Linked DNA regions of Macaca mulatta. The protein of the gene in region 3 purifies or fractionates together with the protein of the main gene of each other region. This does not show direct contact. Links are inferred from orthologs where the notes say so. Each region holds a gene or a part of one and is shown on either strand. Other genes may lie near its edges. The genes, in order: HDAC2, SIN3B, SUDS3, HDAC1 and SAP130.

Region 1 (3,554 bases), on a different chromosome or scaffold from region 3:
TTTATATTCTTATGAGAATAGTCTCATGAGTGCTTAGTCTGGAAATATCAATTTACATTGTATTGTTTTATTTAGCACAGCTATGGCATCATTACATAATAAATACAATGCTTTGCCATCTAATAACAAAATCTCACTTCATTGTACTTCAGAAGGATGACATGAGAAGTCCATTTTCCCTTTATTTTGACATGAGTATACACTGGTAACAAAATGTCATGATATGGTGATTCATGTGGCTCCTAAACTGTGTTTGAGTTACAACTGTGTCATTGTTATCTGTGGTGTTCCAAGCACCAGTTTGAAATGATGAGAGTACCACATGTAGCCTCTGTCACAGCTAACCAATTCTGAAGTTCAAATGGAGCCATGGGTAATAAACAATTGAGCATGGCCATCTTTCAGTAAAACTTTTTCTATGGACACTGAAATTTGAATTTTTTAATTGTCACATGTCAGAAAATACTCTTGTTTCGGTTTTGTTTTTAAACCATTTAAAAAATATAAAAACTATTCTTAGTTCAAAGCTGAAAAAAGAGGCAATTGGCCAAATTTGGGCCATGGGCTATAGTTAGCCAATCCCTATTTTATAATATTGAAGATTTATTACAGAGGTGTTTTAATTAAAGTAACAATCTTGAGTATGGTATAATCTTCAGTTTTTCATATATTAGAAACATGTGCTATGTTTTTGAAGCATGTAGAATGGAACAAATTTCACAAAGAGTAAATATGTATTTTTTAACCTACATAGGGCCATAAGTGGGTATTTAAAGGCCTAAGGCTCAAACCTCAGATATTTGAATAGCCTTTTAGGCCGAATTTAAAAGGTGATTAAACATCCTGGAATGCTAGAGCTCAAAAATAGGTTTCCTGAATTTGTGGTGCTTCTTCCCATCTTATAACCTTTAAAGAAAAAAACAAAAACTTATGGATTTGCTTTCAGGTATCATCAGAGAGTCTTATATATTGATATAGATATTCATCATGGTGATGGTGTTGAAGAAGCTTTTTATACAACAGATCGTGTAATGACGGTATCATTCCATAAATATGGGGAATACTTTCCTGGCACAGGAGACTTGAGGGTAAGACTAAATTCTGTCTTAATAAATACTGTGAGACGAACCTAGGAGATCAGTAACCTTATACTTGAAGTAGAATTTTTCCTGAGTTAATAATTTGAAACTTGTATGCAGAATTCAATTACTTCATATGCAGTAACATTTGCTAAAATTCACTGTTGCTAACTAAGCAAAAATTTAGTGAGAACTTAAGGACTGTTTTTTTTTTTTTCCTCAGCTGTTTTCTTTGGTTGAATAAATATTTTTGAATATCCACAAAGCACGAAGCCCTTCTCTTGATGTTCAGTTTGAATCTTCAAAACTACCTGATGGTAGCCTATGTTGCTATTGATTATAAGGATCGGTGGAATAAAATAGACTAGGTCTTTTTAGGTTCTTCTGCTCCTCTCTTTTGTGATTGGTCTTGACTTTTAGTAGGTCTAATTTTAATCTTTTTTTTTTCCTTAAACTTCTAAAATTGGTAATGTATTTACGTAGAGAAAGAATAGTGTAGCCCTGCCTGCCTGTTACATTAAGTGTATTTCTATTTTATTTCTGTTTCTTTTTCCATTTGATGTTATGACTGTGAAAACCACTGGTCAAATCCTATTTCTGTAAGCTCATTGAAGGTTTTTTGCCTCACCACACTTTTTTTGAACCTAACTACACACATGTTGAAATTTATTCAATAATTTAAACAGCTGTTTTTAGTTCAGCCTGGATTATATGGGAGATTTGTCTTATATGGCATTGAACAAAGTTCTAAACTATTTTATTAAGGTTATTTTTCACGTCTATGGTATGTCGTTACAGTTTAGCAACCAGAATTTAAAGAGTTGCCATAAAGTATTCTTAAGCTGTATGGCTTTTCTTTGTTAGACCACAATGTGATCCTTTCTCAGTAAACTCTTTGAGTAAAAGAGTTACCTTAGTAAAACTTTTCCATACTTACAAATGGGTGGGAGGTCAAATGTTTGGTTTGAGTTTAAATTATTTAGCTTTTAAAATTGCAGATTTGTAATTTCAGTTCCTTGCCAGTAAACTCCTTCAATTTATCCTTTTCGCCACCTGGTCATACAGACTAGTGGTTCTCAAACAGTGGACCCTAAACTGAGGAGAAAGCAGACCAGCATCACCTGGGAACTTGTTAGAAATACACATTCTTAGGGCCCAGAAACTGGGTGATTTGAGAATCACTGCTGTAAACCGATAGAATATATTTGTCAGCAACCATTACATCCTAGTGGAAGTCAAGCAAAAGTCTTCTCTGTTTTAAGCTTAAAGAATAAGACAGTATCTTCGCAGTATGATCCTAGTTTATCTCAGAAGTGGAAAATGGAAGCCTCATGTAATTTCTGACAGGTGAATGTCACTATGGTCTCTTCTCAGTTATTATTCATAATTCTTACAGTTTGAAGTTTTTGAAAATATTAGAGAATGCATGTTTTAGAAGGATTTGAGACTGGTTTTCAACATCTCTTTTTCTTAAGATTTTATAGTCGCTGTATTAAATGATGTTTTAAGGATAACATTTGAATATTTTAAGCATGTCCCCATAATTTTGTGAGAGAATTAAAATCAGTCATTACATTATACGTACAGCTGTATTTGGACTTTCTGTGTAACTCACCTGTATCTTTGGATGTTAATTTAAAAAACACTCGCTTTTTCTGCCTGCTAATTCATTCTAATGCTGAAAAGAAGGCTACGCTGAGCTTAGCTCATTGTTGAAACTCTGTTTGCTTTAATTCGAGTAGTCAGTGGAAGAAAGAAAGGTGGCGTAGTAGCAGTTGCAGAATGAGACCTGGAAAAGATAAAGCTTAGTCTAACAAGGGCAGCAGCTCTGAGTTGCCAGCTAGTTAGTGGCAGTTAGGATGAGAAGTGCTGACCAACTTTTCTGCATTCTGAAATCTTAGAGTAAAAATATATTTCGTCTGTGTTTTAACTGTGCAGTAGGAGTGTAAAGATTCACTATACTTTGTCTTTTCCATATTTGTATGGCTTATATTTAGTTACTAAATCTTAATAAAAATTTAGACTGCAAGAAAAATTGGGAGAGGAGGTGTGTAATTTTGCTTGCTTTCCCCTCGTTGGATGATGGGTCTCATAACTCTAATATTGAGGGTAAATTTTGCTTTTGTGAAATTGAACTGAAGCTAAGACCATTCCATGAGAGGTTCAGGAAGAACTTGCACAAGTGCTAGTAATCCTAAAAATTCATGGATCTTCAGACATTATAATTTAACACACATAAGAATTAGGCACCCCACACCCCAGCCAGGCACGGTGGCTCGTGCCTGTGATCCCAGCACTTTGGAAGGCTGAGTCAAGTGGATTACCTGAGGTCAGGAGTTCGAGACCAGCCTGACCAATGTGATGAAACCCTGTCTCTACTAAATACAAAAAAGAATTAGGTGGGCGTGGTGGCATGCACCTGTAGTCCCAGCAACTTGGGAAGCTGAGACAGGACAATTGCTTGAACCGAGGAGG
Region 2 (3,554 bases), on a different chromosome or scaffold from region 3:
AAATGAAGGCTGCTGCCACCTGCCATCTAAGCTGAAGTCCGTCACTGTCCCACAGGAGGGACAGAGATTTCTCCAGACAACGGCAGAGTTGGCCGAGCACGGTGGCTCACGCCTGTAATCCCAGCACTTTGGGAGGCTGAGGCGGGTGGATCACAAGGTCAGGAGTTCAAGACCAGCCTGGCCAACATGGTGAAACCCCGTCTCTACTAAAAATACAAAAATTAGCCAGGTGTGGTGTCACGTGCCTATAGTCCCAGCTACTCGGGAGGCTGAGGCAGGAGAATCGCTTGAACCGGGGAGGTGGAGGTTACAGTGAGCTGAGATCGCACCACTGCACTCCAGCCTGGGCGACAGAGCGGGCGAGACTCTGCCTCTAAACAAACAAACAGACAATGGCAGAGTTGCTGGTTCTCCTAGGGCAGGCCGCAGGCTGGGCATCACAGAGACATGAACCCTCGCCTCGACACAGCAATGCCGCTACCCCACCTAAGCACCAGGGAAACAGAGGCACAGACCTGGCGGTCGGGAGAGCCAGGATCCCACCCCCGCCAGCCGGCAGGGCTAGGGAAGGCTGTACCTCGTCGTAGACGCTCTCGATCTCGTTGAGCAAGCTCTTGGAGCGCAGGGCCTTGGTGTCATTCTGCTTGAAGTTCACAGCCTGGTGGTCGAGGGACTTGAGGTACGCCTTCTCATACTGCTCCCGCCAGATCTTGTTGAAGCCCTGCTGGGCCTCCCGCCACTCCTCTTCCTTGGCCTTCAGCCTGTGGGGAGAAGAGGGGTCAGCACCAGGGACAAGCCAGGGCATCCTCCCTGAAGCATCCCAGGGCTGGCCTGTCTTCCTCTGGGACTTGACTGGGGGCCCAGGATCCAAGCCCAGCCAGCTCCCAGCCTAGTCTATGCAGTGGGCTCTGTGCACGTCAGAGGAAGGGCGTGATGGCCTTACAGAGCCAATGTGGCCAGCTTCCTGGGTCCTCCGCCTCCTCCCAGGCACCCAGCACTCTCCGCATGGCTGCTAGCTCAGCCACTCAGGTCCCTTGCTCAGCTGTGAGTCCCAAGAGGAGAGGGACTGGGTCTGCCTCACTCAGCTGCGTAACCCCAGGGCCAAGCATTGCACCTGCCTTAAAGTGGCCACTTGATAAATACCTGTTCACTAGCACCAGATGGTGTCCGAGATGCAGCGTTAAATAAAATGCAAGCCACAGTGTAGTGGTTGCATCTGACTCTTAAAGCAGTTTAGATGTCTAGATGTGATTATGTGCAAGGTGGAAAGTCCTAGAAGGTCACAGTGCTCTCCTCTCAGGAGTGGGAGACTGGGAAATACAGGAAGCCAGCCCTAGGCCTGAGACCTCCCCTGGAGATTACCCCTGTTGACAAACAGCACTAACAAGCTCTCCAGGGGCTCCCTGCGGCACGGAAGGGAAGGGAAGGGAAGGGAAGGGAAGGCGGGATGCCGCAGGGCACCTTTTCAGGACAACAGGGACAGCGGTGACGGGGTTCTTCTTGAGGCTCTCGATGATCTCCGGGGCCTTGTCGCCATAGATGCGATAGATGGCACGGCGCTGGATCACCTCTGACGTGCCCCCGAGGGAGTCGTCCAGCCGGAACTTCTCCTGGTCTTCGGGCGCCATCCGAGAGAGCTTCTTCTGCACGCTTTCCAACACGCGGATCGTGGCCAGGTTCGTCTCCAGGACAACGTCTAACTATGGAAAGGAAGGCAGGAAGGGGTCAGCCACTGGGGAACTCAAGAGGCCTCAGGGAGGAGCCTGGGACCTCAGAGCGCAGAGGATTTTTGGAGGGGGGTGGTGTGTGTGTGTGTAGGAAACAGGGTCTTGCTCTGTCACCCAGACTGAAGTGCAGTGGCACAATTACAGCTCACTGCAGCCTCAACCTCCTGGGCTCAAACGATCCTCCCACCTTGGCTTCCCAAGTAGCTAGGAATATAGGTGTGCACCACCATGCCTGGCTAATTAAAAAAATTTATGGCCCGGTGCGGTGGCTCACGCCTGTAATCCTGGCACTTTGGGAGGCTGAGGCAGGCAGATCACAAGGTCAGGAGTTCGAGACCAGCCTGATCAACATGGTGAAACCCCGTCTCTACTAAAAATACAAAAATTAGCCAGGAATGGTGGTGTGTCTGTAATCCCAGCTACTCAAGAGGATCGCTTGAGGCCAGGAGTGTGAGACCAGCCTGGGGAACATAGTGAGACCTCATCTCTACAAAAAAAGTTAAAAAAACAACAACAACCTGGGCATGGTAGTGTGCACCTGTGGTTCCAATTACTCAGGAGGCTGAGGTGGGAGGATCATTTGACCCTGGGAGGTCAAGGCAGCAATGATCCATGATTGTGCCACTGCACTTTCAGCCTGGGAGACAGGGCAAGCAAAATAAATAAATAAATAAAAGTTTCTTTAACGTAATTTAAATTTATTTTTATTTTATTGCCCAGGGTGGAGTGCAGTGGCTTGATCTCGGCTCACTGCAGCCTCGGCCTCTCTGGCTCAAGCAATTCTCCTGCCTCAGCCTCCCGAGTAGCTAGGATTACAGGCACCCGCCACCAAGCCCGGCTAATTTTTGTATTTTTGGTACAGATGAGATTTCACCATGTTGCCCAGGCTGTTCTCAAACTCCTGAGCTCAAATGATCCACCTGCCTTGGCCTCCCAAAGTGCTGGGATTACAGGTGTGTGCCACCACACCCAGTCCAAACAAAATTTTTAAACAGAAAAAAAAAGTGCCATCTGGTAGCCAGCCCAGAGGCCAGCAAGACCCAGCAGGAAGCTTCCAGGAGCTGCTGGAATGTGCTGCAATCCCTGCTCCTAAAAGGAGACTGGCACAGTGGAGGAGGATCAGGACGCATGTCCGGTGGAGAAGGGGGACAGGCATGTGCTGGGAGGCCTGGCCACAGCACCACACACACCTCGAAGCGCTCGTCCTCACAGCGGTGAAGTTGCTCCTCGTACGGTGTCTTCTTAGAGCTGACGAAGGTGGAGTCCTCAGACCAGGAGGGGAAGGAGACCCAGGTGTCATTCAGTACCTGCATCGAGAGGAAACGCCATGAACGGCGCTGCATGCCCCAGGAGCTAAGATTTACTGTTAGCCAGTGTACAAAGTACCAAGATACATAATACAATCCTGATTATATGATAGGCAACTGCCTTATACAAATGGGAAGGTGAATCAAGTTTTTAAGGGAAAACATGACTTTGGTCAAGTGAACACTCCCTTGGTATCCTGGGAGATTGGTTCCAGAACCACCCCTGGAGACCCAAATCCACAGATACTCAAGTCCCTGATGTCAAATGGAATCCTATTTGCATATAACCTATGCAAAATCATCTCTAGAATACTTATACCTAATGCAATGTAAATGCTGTGTAGATCATTGTTACACTGCATTCTTAAAATGTGGATTACGTTTTATTGCTGTACTGTTATTTTTTGGTTTCTCTCTCCCCACCTATTTTCAATCCATGGTTAGTTGAAACCACAGATGAGGAACTTGCAGATATGGAGGGCTGATTTCATTTCAGATATTGGTAAATTTTCTCTGCAAA
Region 3 (4,312 bases):
CAGTGGCACGATCTCGGCTCACTGAAACCTCCACCTTCTGGGTTCAAACAATTCTCCTGCCTCAGCTTCCCAAATAGCTGGGATTACAGGGGTGCACCACCACGCCCAGCTAATTTTTGTATTTTTAGTAGAGACGGAGTTTCACCATGTTGGCCAGGCTGGTCTCGAACTCCTGGCCTCAACTGAACCGCCTGCCTCGGCCTCCCAAAGTGCTGGGATTACAGGCATGAGCCACCATGCCCGGACAACAGTACACTTTAAATCATCTCTAGATTACTTACAATATCCAGGCCAGGCATGGCGGCTCATGCCTGTAATCCCCGCACTTTGGAAGGCCAAAGCGGGTGAATCACCTGAGGCCAGGAGTTCCAGACCATCCTGGCCAACATAGAGAAACCCCATCTCTACTAAAAACACAAAAGTTAAGGCCGGGTGCATTGGCTCACGCCTGTAATCCCAGCACTTTGGGAGGCCAAAGCAGGTGGTTTACCTGAGGTCGGGAGTTTGAGACCAGCCTGACCAACATGGAGAAACCCCCTCTCTACTCAAAATACAAAATTAGCTGGGGGTGGTGGCGCATGCCTGTAATCCCAGCTACTCCCAGCTACTTGAGAGGCTGAGGCAGGAGAATGGCTTGAGCTGAGATCGCGCCACTGCACTCCACTCCACCCTGGGCAACAAGAGCGAAACTCCATCTCAAAAAAAAAAAAAAAAAAAGAACAAAACAAACAACAAATAAAACCCCAAAAATTAGCCAGGCATGATGGCAGGTGCCTGTAATCCCAACGACTCCGGAAGCTGAGGCAGGAGAATTGCTTGAACCCCGGAGATGGAGGTTGCAGTGAACTGAGATTGTGACACTGCACACCAGCCTGGGTGATAGAGTGAGACTCCACCTCAAAAAAAAAAAAAAAAAAGGTTACTTACAATATCCAATAAAATGTAAATACTATGTAAGTAGTTGTTACACTACACTGTTTAGGAATAACAAAAAAAGTCTGCACATGTTCAGTACGGATTCAATTTTTTCCGGAATATTTTTGAGCTGCGCTTGGTTGAATTCACAGATGTAGAATTCACAGACATGGAGCGCCAACTGTATACAATAAAAAAGGTAATCTGACACAAATATTTTCCAAGTTACAACTAAAGGGAACAAGGAGGAGGCCAGATGATCAAACGAAAATTGTTTCAAAACATCTTAAACATTGCTCTTAGAACAAGCATTAATGGCTGGGGTGTCTACAAATTTTTAACAGCCCCTATACTGCAAGGAAAAAAAAACCCTCAATTTTGGCTCCACCGCGCCCCCTCGTGGGGATGAGATGCAGCGCAAGTGCTTCACATTCAAAATCTCTGGTTAAGCCTTGTCTTCGGATGGAGTTAAACCGAATGCAGTCCTTCAACTTTCCATGTCATGCATATGCAGCTGTCTTTTGTAAGGCTGTTGCAGATCCAATTCCCCACAAACCCTTCTCCCCTCCTTCAGTTAAGAGGCCTTCCCTGAGTTCCTGTCATGGTCAGCCACATTACTTGGCACTCGGGAAATTCAGATGAATAAAACGTATGCACCTTTCCAAACAGCTGGTCTAGCTTTTGCTCCACGGCCCGATTTTGTCCCAGAATATTCCATTCACATATAGATCTCTCTTTATCTCCTCTTTCTTCTCCCTTGATCTTTCATATTTCATCACCTTCCTCCTCCTCCATCCCTCCAAAATAGCGTCCTCACACTTGCCAAATTATAAAGCTCAGTTTGAAAAGCAAGGCTCTGAGACGCTGTGATGACAGTGTAAAGAGCATGGGACTGAAAACACACCACCTGGGGACCATTAAGCAAACCCCTCCCTCTCTTACCTGTTTCCGGGAGGGGGGCGGGTGGGGAGAACATTTACTGAGTATTTACTGTACCAGGCCAAGTACTTTATGCGCATGTCATTTAATCCCTATACCGACCCTAGGAAGTGCTTTCTAGGTCAGGTGTGGGAATTAAACAGCTTCATTACAGCTGGGTAAATCGAGGCTGGAAAACTTTAGTTTACAAAGCTGAGTTAAGTGACAGAGCCAAATTTAAACCTGTATCTGGCTGGTTCCAGGTCCCTTTCCTTTAACCAACCTGAGTTATCAATACTGTCCTACCTAAAGCATAGCTGACACGCATTTCGGGGGTGGGGAGGGGCAACTTTGGACTCTGATGCTCTCAGACACAAAAAACGGGGGAACTACACTCGGTGCATTCAGTAAATGAGTTTCTCATTCCTACTAGTGAAGATGTGAGGTTCAATCAGAGACAGCTGGGAGGGAGGACGGGGTCTTAAAGGGACCCCCAGCGTGACAACGTGTGAGTCCCCTCTCCCCATCACAGTCAAGTGTAACGTACCCAGGGCTTCCCCGCTACTCCAGCGCGAAGGGGAGTAACTTCCCCGAGTCCCGCAACTCCCGGCGGCCCCTCCACGCAGCCCCAGGCCCCAGAGGCCGCCCCGCCCCTCTCCCAAGCAGCCCCACCCCCTCCCTAGCGGTCCCACCTCCGCTCCCGGCCGCCGGGAGAGCTGCAGGACTCACCTTCGTCCGACTCGCGGCCCCGACAGCTGCGCTCGTCGTCCTCGGCGCTCTCCAGCTCTTCGTCCTCCTCGGGGTAGTACTCGGGGGCCGGCGGCGCTCCAGCCTGGGCCGGGGCCGGGGCCAGCAGCCCCGCGGCACTCATGTCGCCTCTGACCGCAGCTGAGCGTGGCCCAGGGACACCGCGGCCACCCGCCTTCGGTACTCGCCGTCTGCCTAGCAGCGTCCGAGGGAGCCCCCAACTCGAGGAGCGGGAGCCGCGGCGACCCCTTCCCGGTCTCCGCCGAGCTCCGCCCCCCGCGCCCGCGCTCGGCAACCGGGGCCTCGCGCCGCTGGCGACTTCCGGGTCGAGAGCTGCCCGACGACGGCCTGACTCCGCCATCCTTGGGGGAGTGGAGATGCCGCTGGACGCCCAGTCGCCACAACTTCAGCCCTTTCATCGCCGTCTTAAAATCCTTAAAGTATAGTGGGGGAGGGGCGGAGCCAGGTTCTCTAGAGTCAGGCAAATCTACGGGCAGGCCCAGCAGCCATCAGGACCCCGAGGCTCGCAGGCGACATCCGGAAACAGCCGCCAGGCGGCGCCTGGAGCTAGAACTAAAGCAGGGATCGTTAGCGACCTAGGGGCGGAGGGTTTGAAGGGCCCTTGGCAGGTGGAGGTGGTCTCTAATCTAAGCAGGGGAACCACGCGAACTGCCCCCTTGTTAGGTCTGAAAACCTAGACATCCAGAGTGTGCGTGATCATGCAGCCTGGCTCCTCCTGTGACTACTTAGAGCTTTATTAAGAGCTAAAAGACAAGGATGCTGATATTCCATCCTGGGGACAGCAAAACAGTATTTTCCCAGCCCTTAGGAATCCTTTCTATTTGTGTAAGGTTTATTCGATAAGATGTTCCCCCGGTTTTACAAACGAGAAACGAGCTGTCGTTTGCCTAAAAAAAAATAGCAACGTCCAGTCTGATTTTTTAGACTCGGAGACCCAGGCCTTCCGCGGTACAGCTGTCTTGAATATTAATTTTTTCAAAGGTGCTTTTGCCTAATCCAACAGCTTGCTCTGAGCTCTCAACTGAAGAAGGGGAGAATTTGCCTACCAGAAGTTATTTGGCTAAGCAAGACCTACGTGGAAGCTTAAAAACCAGGAGAGCTGAGTATCTGCAAGAATTAATTTGTGGGATTCCCTCTGAGTAAAAGAGGGACACGGTGTTACAAGTTTTGCTCAAAGAATAGATTTAAGGTGTCCCTTTAGCTAAGAGCAGTGTGGTCTAGTTGTGTGTAGCGAGAAAAAAGGATAAGGTTTTTAATGGTTTGTCCAAAGTAGCCCCACTTTCATGTTCCACCCGAGTCTCCGTAGGAAACGCAACCAGTAGTGAAAACACATGTGAAAACCAGGGTGGAACCGAATATTCCCATTCTCAGACCTTTTGTGATCAAATTTCTCTCTGAATTGGCCCCCATGGACTCTTCTAAAAAATGAAACATTATTCCCATCCCATTTATTTTGACATTTATTTACTACCTTGTTTTAATTAAAATCTTGGCTCTATTTGTAAGGGATTTTTTGTCCCAACAAAACTAAAGAATTTCCAGAATGGAATGCTAAGATGTCTTTCCAGGAGTTCCGAGATCTTCTGAAGCGCCTTCTAAATAAGAATCATTCTCAGATCTCACCAGGTCTGCCATCTATATTTAAACTAGGATTTCGGAACTGTCTCGTGTCCAAAAGATGAAGTCATTTTCTTTTTTTGTGCTGTTGGAG
Region 4 (3,354 bases), on a different chromosome or scaffold from region 3:
GTCAAGAGCTTTAACCTGCCTATGCTGATGCTGGGAGGTGGTGGTTACACCATTCGTAATGTTGCCCGGTGCTGGACATACGAGACAGCTGTGGCCCTGGATACGGAGATCCCTAATGGTAATAGCTGCAGGGCCAGGTTTGGCTGGGCTGGGTGGGAGCTGGAGCTCATCTGTCCTTAAGTTTATAACCCCTTCCCCGTTGGTCATATGACCACTGTTCTTCTGATACTAGTCACTGAGTCCCCTGCATGTCCTCTTGTGATCAGCAGACCATAACCATCACTTTTTCCCTAGTCCTTTTTAGCTCTGTCCCCTCTCCCTTCTGCTTTTGGTCTGGACAAAGTTCTCAGTGGTAATTTACAGCTTTGGAATTTCTGCTCTGTAGAGTAACTGGAGTAGTGAGTGAAGGGAGCGTTCATAATGAGCATGGGCTCAAGTGTCCTAAACCAGGAACATGGACCTTCTCCTAGCGACATATACACCACTGGTATAGACATAGAGTGATGTTAACAAGATGGAAATCCCATAGGTACCCGTGTCTCACCGTGTCTTGGAGGCATTCTCCTCTGTTTGACAGATGGATCAAGGGCCCAGAGAAACCTACAAATGCTTTAGGGTGCTTACGTGCAAATGGTTCAGGTGCGGTGGCCAGGTCTCTTAACGGTCTTCTCCCTGCCCCAATCAGAGCTTCCATACAACGACTACTTTGAATACTTTGGACCGGATTTCAAGCTCCACATCAGTCCTTCCAATATGACTAACCAGAACACGAATGAGTACCTGGAGAAGATCAAGTGAGTATATCCTCCAGCCACCCCTTGGTTGAACATTCCTGACTTTGGTTTGTCCCTGACCAGAGCCCTGCTACTCTCTCCCACTGGCCACAGACAGCGGCTGTTTGAGAACCTTAGAATGCTGCCGCATGCACCTGGGGTCCAAATGCAGGCGATTCCTGAGGACGCCATCCCTGAGGAGAGTGGCGATGAGGACGAAGAAGACCCTGACAAGCGCATCTCGAGTAAGACCTAGACGCAGAGCCCTATGCCTTCCACTCAGTAGGCAGCCCCCACTTCCACCACCATTCCTGGCTGCACACTCTCCAAGCTCCCCACCTTGGAGAAATCTGTTTCCAGTTCCAGTGCCTGTAGGAACAGGTTAGGGAGCCTGAGCTCCTCCCTCTTCTCTGGTTCCCTTTCCCTTGGTGTCTCTTGGAGGGCCTGCAGGGAAGCACTGGGCATAGATGCTGAGCTAGATCGGCACCCGCCTGCTCTCACCCATGCTTCCCACTCCCTCCCAGTCTGCTCCTCCGACAAACGAATTGCCTGTGAGGAAGAGTTCTCCGATTCTGAAGAGGAGGGAGAGGGGGGCCGCAAGAACTCTTCCAACTTCAAAAAAGCCAAGAGAGTCAAAACAGAGGATGAAAAAGAGAAAGACCCAGAGGAGAAGAAAGGTGGGTTTGGGTTCAGCCGGGACTTGGGTCTTGAGCCTGAGAGGATGAATCTATGTAGGGCAGTGGGAGGAGGGAGTGACTCAGGCCCTGCCAGCTCCTGTGGGGCTCTTCCTCAGTTCCTTGAGCCTTTCAGTGTCTCCCAGAAGTGGCAGGGCCCACAAAACAACGAACCTCTACTGGCCAAGCACGGCTCTCACATACCACCCAAGCCCTTTTCCCAGCACTGCACCCCAGTTTCCCAGGGGGCTGCCTCCGCCCACCAGATTCTGGCTGTAGCAGGCTGGGAAACCGGTCCAACCTGTTCTCTACAGGGCTCACTGGGAAGACCAGGGATGGGCTTTTCTCTCTTTTATGTCCAGTGAGCGTAGTGTTGGGGAAGGGGTCTCAGGGTAAATGAAGACCTCACGGGTCTTTCCAGAGGTGCTGCCCTTAGCCATCCCTGTACTCTTGTGTTCTAGAAGTCACAGAAGAGGAGAAAACCAAGGAGGAAAAGCCAGAAGCCAAAGGGTGAGGAACGAGCTGCCTGCAGCCATCTCCCTGGCATTGGAGCACCAGCCCCTTTGTCCCACTACTCTGAAGAAAGGCACAGGGACAGCTGGTCCAGCTTACAAAGGCCTCTTTCAGGGACCAGTCTGTCCAGCTCTGCAGTTCTAGGCAGAGCTAGGAGCCCCAGCCCCCAGTAGTCACCTGGGATCCTGTGGAAGTCACTGTGTCTGCACTTTTGCCCCGAGGCTCTGGGCTGGGTCATCTCATGCCAGTCTCTGCTCTCTCCACAGGGTCAAGGAGGAGGTCAAGTTGGCCTGAACAGACCTCTCCAGCTCTGGCTCCCTGCTGAGTCCCTCACCTTTCTCCCCCAACCCCTCAGATTTTATATTTTCTATTTCTCTGTGTATTTATATAAAAATTTATTAAATATAAATATCCCCAGGGACAGAAACCAAGGCCCTGAGCCCAGGGCAGCTGTGCTGGGTGAACTCTTCCAGGGGCCACATTGCCACCCATTCTTCCCCAGTTCTTAACTTTGAACCATAAAGGGTGCCAGGTCTGGGTGAAAGGGATGCTTTTATGCAACCGTAAGACAAAATCCTGAAATGCGAAGTGCCTGCTTAGTAGCTTTGGAAAGGTGCCCTTATTGAATATTCTAGAAGGGGTGGCTGGGTCTTCAAGGATCTCCTGTTCTTTTCAGGCTCCTAAGGTAACATCAGCCATTTTTAGATTGGTTCTGTTTTCATACCTTCCCACTGGCCTCAAGTGAGCCAAGAAACACTGCCTGCCCCGTCTTCTCCTAATTCTGCAGGTGGAGGTTGCTAGTCTAGTTTCCTTTTTGAGATACTATTTTCATTTTTGTGAGCCTCTTTGTAATAAAATGGTACATTTCTATATCCTCCTGAGCTTGTTTCCTACGTGTCATTGGGTTGGTTTCAACTCTTACTTCCCTGCCCTTCTGGTGTCCATGAGTATTGGGGCAACCCCCTGAACAAGAAAACCCCATAAACTTACCTGCCTGCCTTAACTCCTCCCTTGAGGTTTGAGGTGAACTACTTTCCACCAATCTTCTCACCCTACCCCCAGAAGACCACTCATTAAAGCACCACTAAAGGGACGACATTTATTCCTTTTCCAAATGTTACAGTAAAACCAGGTGGAAGAGAATGGTTTTAGCAGTTAGAAAAAAAAAAAAAGTACAAATCTGGGGTTTGGCCATTAAAAGTTATTTACAACAATGGGAGAAAAAAAGACAACAAGAAGTTGTTTCACATTACAGACCTCCCCCCACCCCAAAGCCTAATACTTGCTTACCAAGTCAAAAAAGAGACACAGTTGATTCACAAGCTGGAGGTTTGAACTTGAGTAAGACATTTATAAAAACCTAGACGGGGCAGTGTCCTCCCCAGCCCAGGTGC
Region 5 (4,219 bases), on a different chromosome or scaffold from region 3:
TATGGCTATGTCTTCTACAGGCGCATAAACTCCAACCCTGAACCCCAAACAAAATGACAAAATAAAACTGCCCCCTTCAGCGCCTTCATAATCTGGAAAGTGCGCGCAGGTGCGCCCCGGCCGCCCGGAGTCCTGCATCCTGCCGGCCTGCTTTCACAGAGCCGCGCCCGCGCCGCGCCTGGCGGCTCCCGCCGCGCGTAGGCTGTGCCGACCGCGGTCCCCGGTGGGGACACCGAGTCCCACTCGCGGCGTAGGGAGGCGGGCACCGTCACGACACTGGTCCGGCCCGCGGATCCCTTGGCCGCCGCAGTTGGCCTCCATTACCCTTTCCCGCGCCGCGCCTCCCCGCGGGGAAAATGAAACCTAGTGCCCTCAGGTTGAGACACAGGGTGGGATCCACTGTCTTCTCACTTAGCCAAGAGAAAAGACAGAACCGACTTCAGACAGCAAAGGGGTGTGTTGCCCTGGCCGGGTCGCCTGCGGCCCCGCCCCGGCGCTCTCCACCTCCTTCGCGGCCCGCCCTCTTGGCTCCCGCGACTACATTTCCCAGAGGACGCCGCGGCTCCGAGGGGCGGGCCCGTCCGCTCTCCCGCTCACGACCACCGGCGACTGGCTGACTCGGCAGGGGGCGGGGCCTGCGCCAGCCAATAGACGGGAGGCTCGTTACGGCGGCGGAAGCAGCGGCGCTGGAGTGAGGGGTGGGGGGCAGAGTGCTAGCTCCCCGGCGGTGGCTGCGGGTCGGGAACCTGGGGACGTCGGCCCCGCAGACAGAGAGCGCGCGGGAGCGAGCTCAAGGCGGCGCGGCGGCCACTCGGCGCAGCACCCAGGTAATGGCGGGACGGGAGCCCGGGAGGGAAGGGGAGGAGACGAGGGGGCGGGGCGGCCGAGCCGGGCTGCAGCGTCCGTCCCGTTGCGCGTCCCCGGGGAAGGGCAGAGGATCCTCGTCTCCTGCAGCTCGGACCGCGGCTCTTTGGCGAGCTGGGCACGGCAGTTGGGCCGGCGACAGGGGCTGGGTGTCCTGTGGCGAGGAAGGGAGAGGCACCGGGAGGGGTGGGCTGACCCGGGCGTGGGGGCGTGGCGGACGTGGGCCTTGGCGGGGAAGCAGAGCGGTCGGGGGAGCGCGGGCGGGCGGGCGGCCCAGGGAGTTTGGCTCCTGGAGCAGTTTAAAGTGACTCTCCACATCCGGGCCCTGCGCCCGCCGCTTTCAGACCCTGGCCAAGGCGGGGCCTCCCCGCTCCCCGCCCCCCTCGCCGGGGGCGCCTGTCTTCCTCTGCCATTGGTTCAGCCTCGAGGGGTTTGGGCTGCCCCGGCCAGGCTCGCGCCTGATTGGCTGGCGGTCGGCGGGAGGGTGGGGCGGGTCCTGACCGTGTAGGTCGCTGTGGATTGGTCCTGGGCCTCCACTGACGCGCCGGGCGTGGGGCCAATGGGCGGGCGGGGGAGGCAGGGGCAGGTTCGGGGGAAGAGGACTGCGAGCACAGCGGCGGCCGGGTGTTGGGGGTGAGTGGGGCCAGCGGGGCTGGACAGCGGCGGGCCCCGGGCGCCGCCGCCGCGATCCCTCCCCGCGCCCCCCGAGCGCATCGCCGCCGCCGAGATGGGCCCTCCGCGGCACCCCCAGGCCGGCGAGCTAGAAGCGGGCGGTGCGGGCGGCGGGCGGCGGCTACAGGTAAAGAGGCACAGTGCTCGCCTTGTGGTCGGGTCCCCAGAACGCCCGTCCGCACCCCTACCCCGGAGACGGGGATCTCGCACTCCGAGGTGTCTGGAAATCGGCGTCCTCCCATCTCAGCGGGGGCTTCGCGGTGGGGTGGGGTTGCGGGCGAATCAGGGGAGATCGCTTGGCTCCTGGGGGAAAAGTGGGGGACGATTTTAGGGAAGATGGAGAAGGTGTAGGGTCCTCTGGCTCTGTGGGGGGTCTATGAAAGGGAAAGAAAAGGAAATCCGTAAATGGAAGCCTTTGCAGAAAAGCGTTGGAGAATTCCTTTTGCATCAGGTCTGAATGTAAAACATCCGATCCTTTCTTAGGGCTGGGTATCTTCCTCCGAATGTTCCTATGACATGCTAATCACAGTTCTGTTCACCTTGGTGTGAGGTTTGAGTGTTTCGAAGAGACATGCCATTTTCCATAAAACTTTACACAGAGAAATACACATGCATTGTGGTAATACCTGTCATGTGACTCTTGTACAGGATTCAATGGTGATTTTTTTAGCATGGCAATCCACAAGTATTTATGGAGGGTTATAGTACACGCCAGCTCCGTATAAACGATATTGGTAGAAAACTTAGGTAGTTTAGATAATGTCTGCATTTATATTGATCCTACGTTATTGTTTTTAAATAGATGATGCAACATTTGCTTTTCCGAGGGACTATCTCATAGGTACTAAAGATGCTTTAATTTCTCAATATTGATTCAGATCTCAGAATCTAGTAATAACCATATAACTGTATGTACTGCAGGTGGAAATGAGTTCTCAACAGTTTCCTCGATTAGGAGCCCCTTCTACTGGGCTGAGCCAGGCCCCTTCTCAGATTGCAAACAGTGGTACTGCTGGATTGATAAACCCAGCTGCTACAGGTGAGATATGTAATATTCTAATATATTTCTTCCAACTTTACGAATATTGCCAGTTTTCTAACTTAAAAATTAGCAGACTCCTTCTAGGATTTTAGTAAATTCTTATTTCTTGAATTTGAAGAAAGGGTATATTACTATTCTAATTTAAACAAGGCTTTTTTTCTTCCTGCTTTAAGCACTTCGTTCACATAGAGTACACATGCAACTTACAGCGAAGCATGCCTGTAAGAACTATTTTTGAAATGCATTAATATATTCATGTTTAATTAATGTCCAAGAGTATAGCATTAGTGCTGTGAGGGAGCCCAGAGTTGTTTAAGGAACAGATCTTGCCTTTTAGGAGTTTATTATCAAGGAAAATAAGTGGAAAACAAAGGATATGCAGTTTCCCTATGGTGTCTGTGGGGGATTGGTTCCAGGACCCACCTCAGATACCAAAATCCATGTTGCTCCACTTTGTGATGTAAAATGGTATAGTGTTTACATATTACCTGTATCTATCCTCCAGTATACTTTAAATCAGCTGTAGATTACTTGTAATGCCTACTACAAAGTAAATAGTATGTAAATAGTTGTTATTCCGTATTGCTAAGAGAACAGTGAGAAGACAAAGAAGTCTGTATGTGCTTAGTACAGATGCAACCATATTTTATTTTTCCCCCTGAATATTTAACATCCAAAGTTATTTGAATTCAGATCAGGGAACCCATGGATACAGAGGGCTGATTGCATACACACAGATAAGACTTGGTTTTTCGTCTCATGCCCTTTGAGTGCTAGAAATCAGTGGTTCTCAGTGACAGGTGTTTGGGGAGGTGGTTTTTCCTGCAGGGGAATACTTGGCAATATCTAAAGACAGTTTGGTTGTCACAACTCAACAGTGCTATTGGCATCTGGTAGGTAGAGGCCAGGGATACTGCTTCACATCCTACAAGATAATGGGAAGCCCCCACAACAGAGAAGTATCCAGTCTAGTCAGCAGCGCTGAAGTTGAGGAATTCCTTCAAATACTCTTTTTCGCTACGTATTAAGTAAATATGTGACATTGCAAAGTGGAATAAACTATTTTCTATTCCTTTTTCTTCACCACTCGATTCTGGTGTTCCTTATGGTAAATGATACCACTGTCTACTCATTGCTTAAACCAGTAGCTGAGGCTTATTTTTTTGCAACAGCATCTCATGCTGTCATTCAAGCGGGAGTACAGTGGCCTAATCACAGCTCACTGCAGCCTCGATCTTTTGAGCTCCCCAGCTTATTTTATTTTATTTTACTTTATTTTGTTTTATTTTATTTTTTTGAGACAGAGTGTCACTCTTTGGCCCAGGTTAGAGTGCACTGGCTCTATCTCAGGTCCCTTCGGTCTCTGCCTCCTGGGTTTTAGCGATTCTTGTGCCTCAGCCTCTGAGTAGCCGGGATTACAGGCATGCGCCACCATCCCTGGGTAATTTTTTTTTTTTCTTTTTTGTATTTTTAGTAGAGACAGGGTTTCACCATGTTAACCAGGCTGATCTCGAACTCCAGACCTCAAGTGATCCACCTTCCTTGGCCTCCCAAAGTGCTGGGATTACAGGCATGAGCCACCGCGCACAGCCACATGTTCAGCTAATTTTAAATTTTTTTGTAAAGAGGGGATCTCACAGT

What was found.
Region 1: the proteins of SUDS3 (region 3) and HDAC2 purify together in Homo sapiens (affinity purification with mass spectrometry; 5 studies listed by BioGRID and IntAct, with this or other methods). This does not show direct contact. The link is inferred for Macaca mulatta from reciprocal best matches to the Homo sapiens genes SUDS3 and HDAC2.
Region 2: the proteins of SUDS3 (region 3) and SIN3B purify together in Homo sapiens (affinity purification with mass spectrometry; 3 studies listed by BioGRID and IntAct, counting the BioPlex papers as one, with this or other methods). This does not show direct contact. The link is inferred for Macaca mulatta from reciprocal best matches to the Homo sapiens genes SUDS3 and SIN3B.
Region 4: the proteins of SUDS3 (region 3) and HDAC1 purify together in Homo sapiens (affinity purification with mass spectrometry; 9 studies listed by BioGRID and IntAct, counting the BioPlex papers as one, with this or other methods). This does not show direct contact. The link is inferred for Macaca mulatta from reciprocal best matches to the Homo sapiens genes SUDS3 and HDAC1.
Region 5: the proteins of SUDS3 (region 3) and SAP130 purify together in Homo sapiens (affinity purification with western blotting; 3 studies listed by BioGRID, with this or other methods). This does not show direct contact. The link is inferred for Macaca mulatta from reciprocal best matches to the Homo sapiens genes SUDS3 and SAP130.

Annotation. Positions count from the first base shown.
Region 1 is NC_133409.1:19,019,969-19,023,522, reverse strand, and holds part of HDAC2 (histone deacetylase 2), read left to right. Parts: intron 1-946; coding exon 947-1,088; intron 1,089-3,554. UniProt on the Homo sapiens protein: Histone deacetylase that catalyzes the deacetylation of lysine residues on the N-terminal part of the core histones (H2A, H2B, H3 and H4).
Region 2 is NC_133424.1:17,355,399-17,358,952, reverse strand, and holds part of SIN3B (paired amphipathic helix protein Sin3b), read right to left. Parts: intron 3,035-3,554; coding exon 2,918-3,034; intron 1,701-2,917; coding exon 1,462-1,700; intron 762-1,461; coding exon 578-761; intron 1-577.
Region 3 is NC_133416.1:125,665,821-125,670,132, reverse strand, and holds the start of SUDS3 (sin3 histone deacetylase corepressor complex component SDS3), read right to left. Parts: upstream 2,852-4,312; 5' UTR 2,705-2,851; coding exon 2,563-2,704; exon of another isoform or gene 1,892-2,562; coding exon of another isoform or gene 1,858-1,891; exon of another isoform or gene 884-1,857; intron 1-883.
Region 4 is NC_133406.1:208,542,787-208,546,140, reverse strand, and holds the end of HDAC1 (histone deacetylase 1), read left to right. Parts: coding exon 1-118; intron 119-685; coding exon 686-794; intron 795-887; coding exon 888-1,018; intron 1,019-1,297; coding exon 1,298-1,450; intron 1,451-1,908; coding exon 1,909-1,957; intron 1,958-2,226; coding exon 2,227-2,254; 3' UTR 2,255-2,832; downstream 2,833-3,354. UniProt on the Homo sapiens protein: Histone deacetylase that catalyzes the deacetylation of lysine residues on the N-terminal part of the core histones (H2A, H2B, H3 and H4).
Region 5 is NC_133417.1:9,247,317-9,251,535, forward strand, and holds the start of SAP130 (histone deacetylase complex subunit SAP130), read left to right. Parts: upstream 1-1,398; 5' UTR 1,399-1,591; coding exon 1,592-1,663; intron 1,664-1,950; exon of another isoform or gene 1,951-2,377; intron 2,378-2,457; coding exon 2,458-2,575; intron 2,576-4,219. UniProt on the Homo sapiens protein: Acts as a transcriptional repressor. May function in the assembly and/or enzymatic activity of the mSin3A corepressor complex or in mediating interactions between the complex and other regulatory complexes.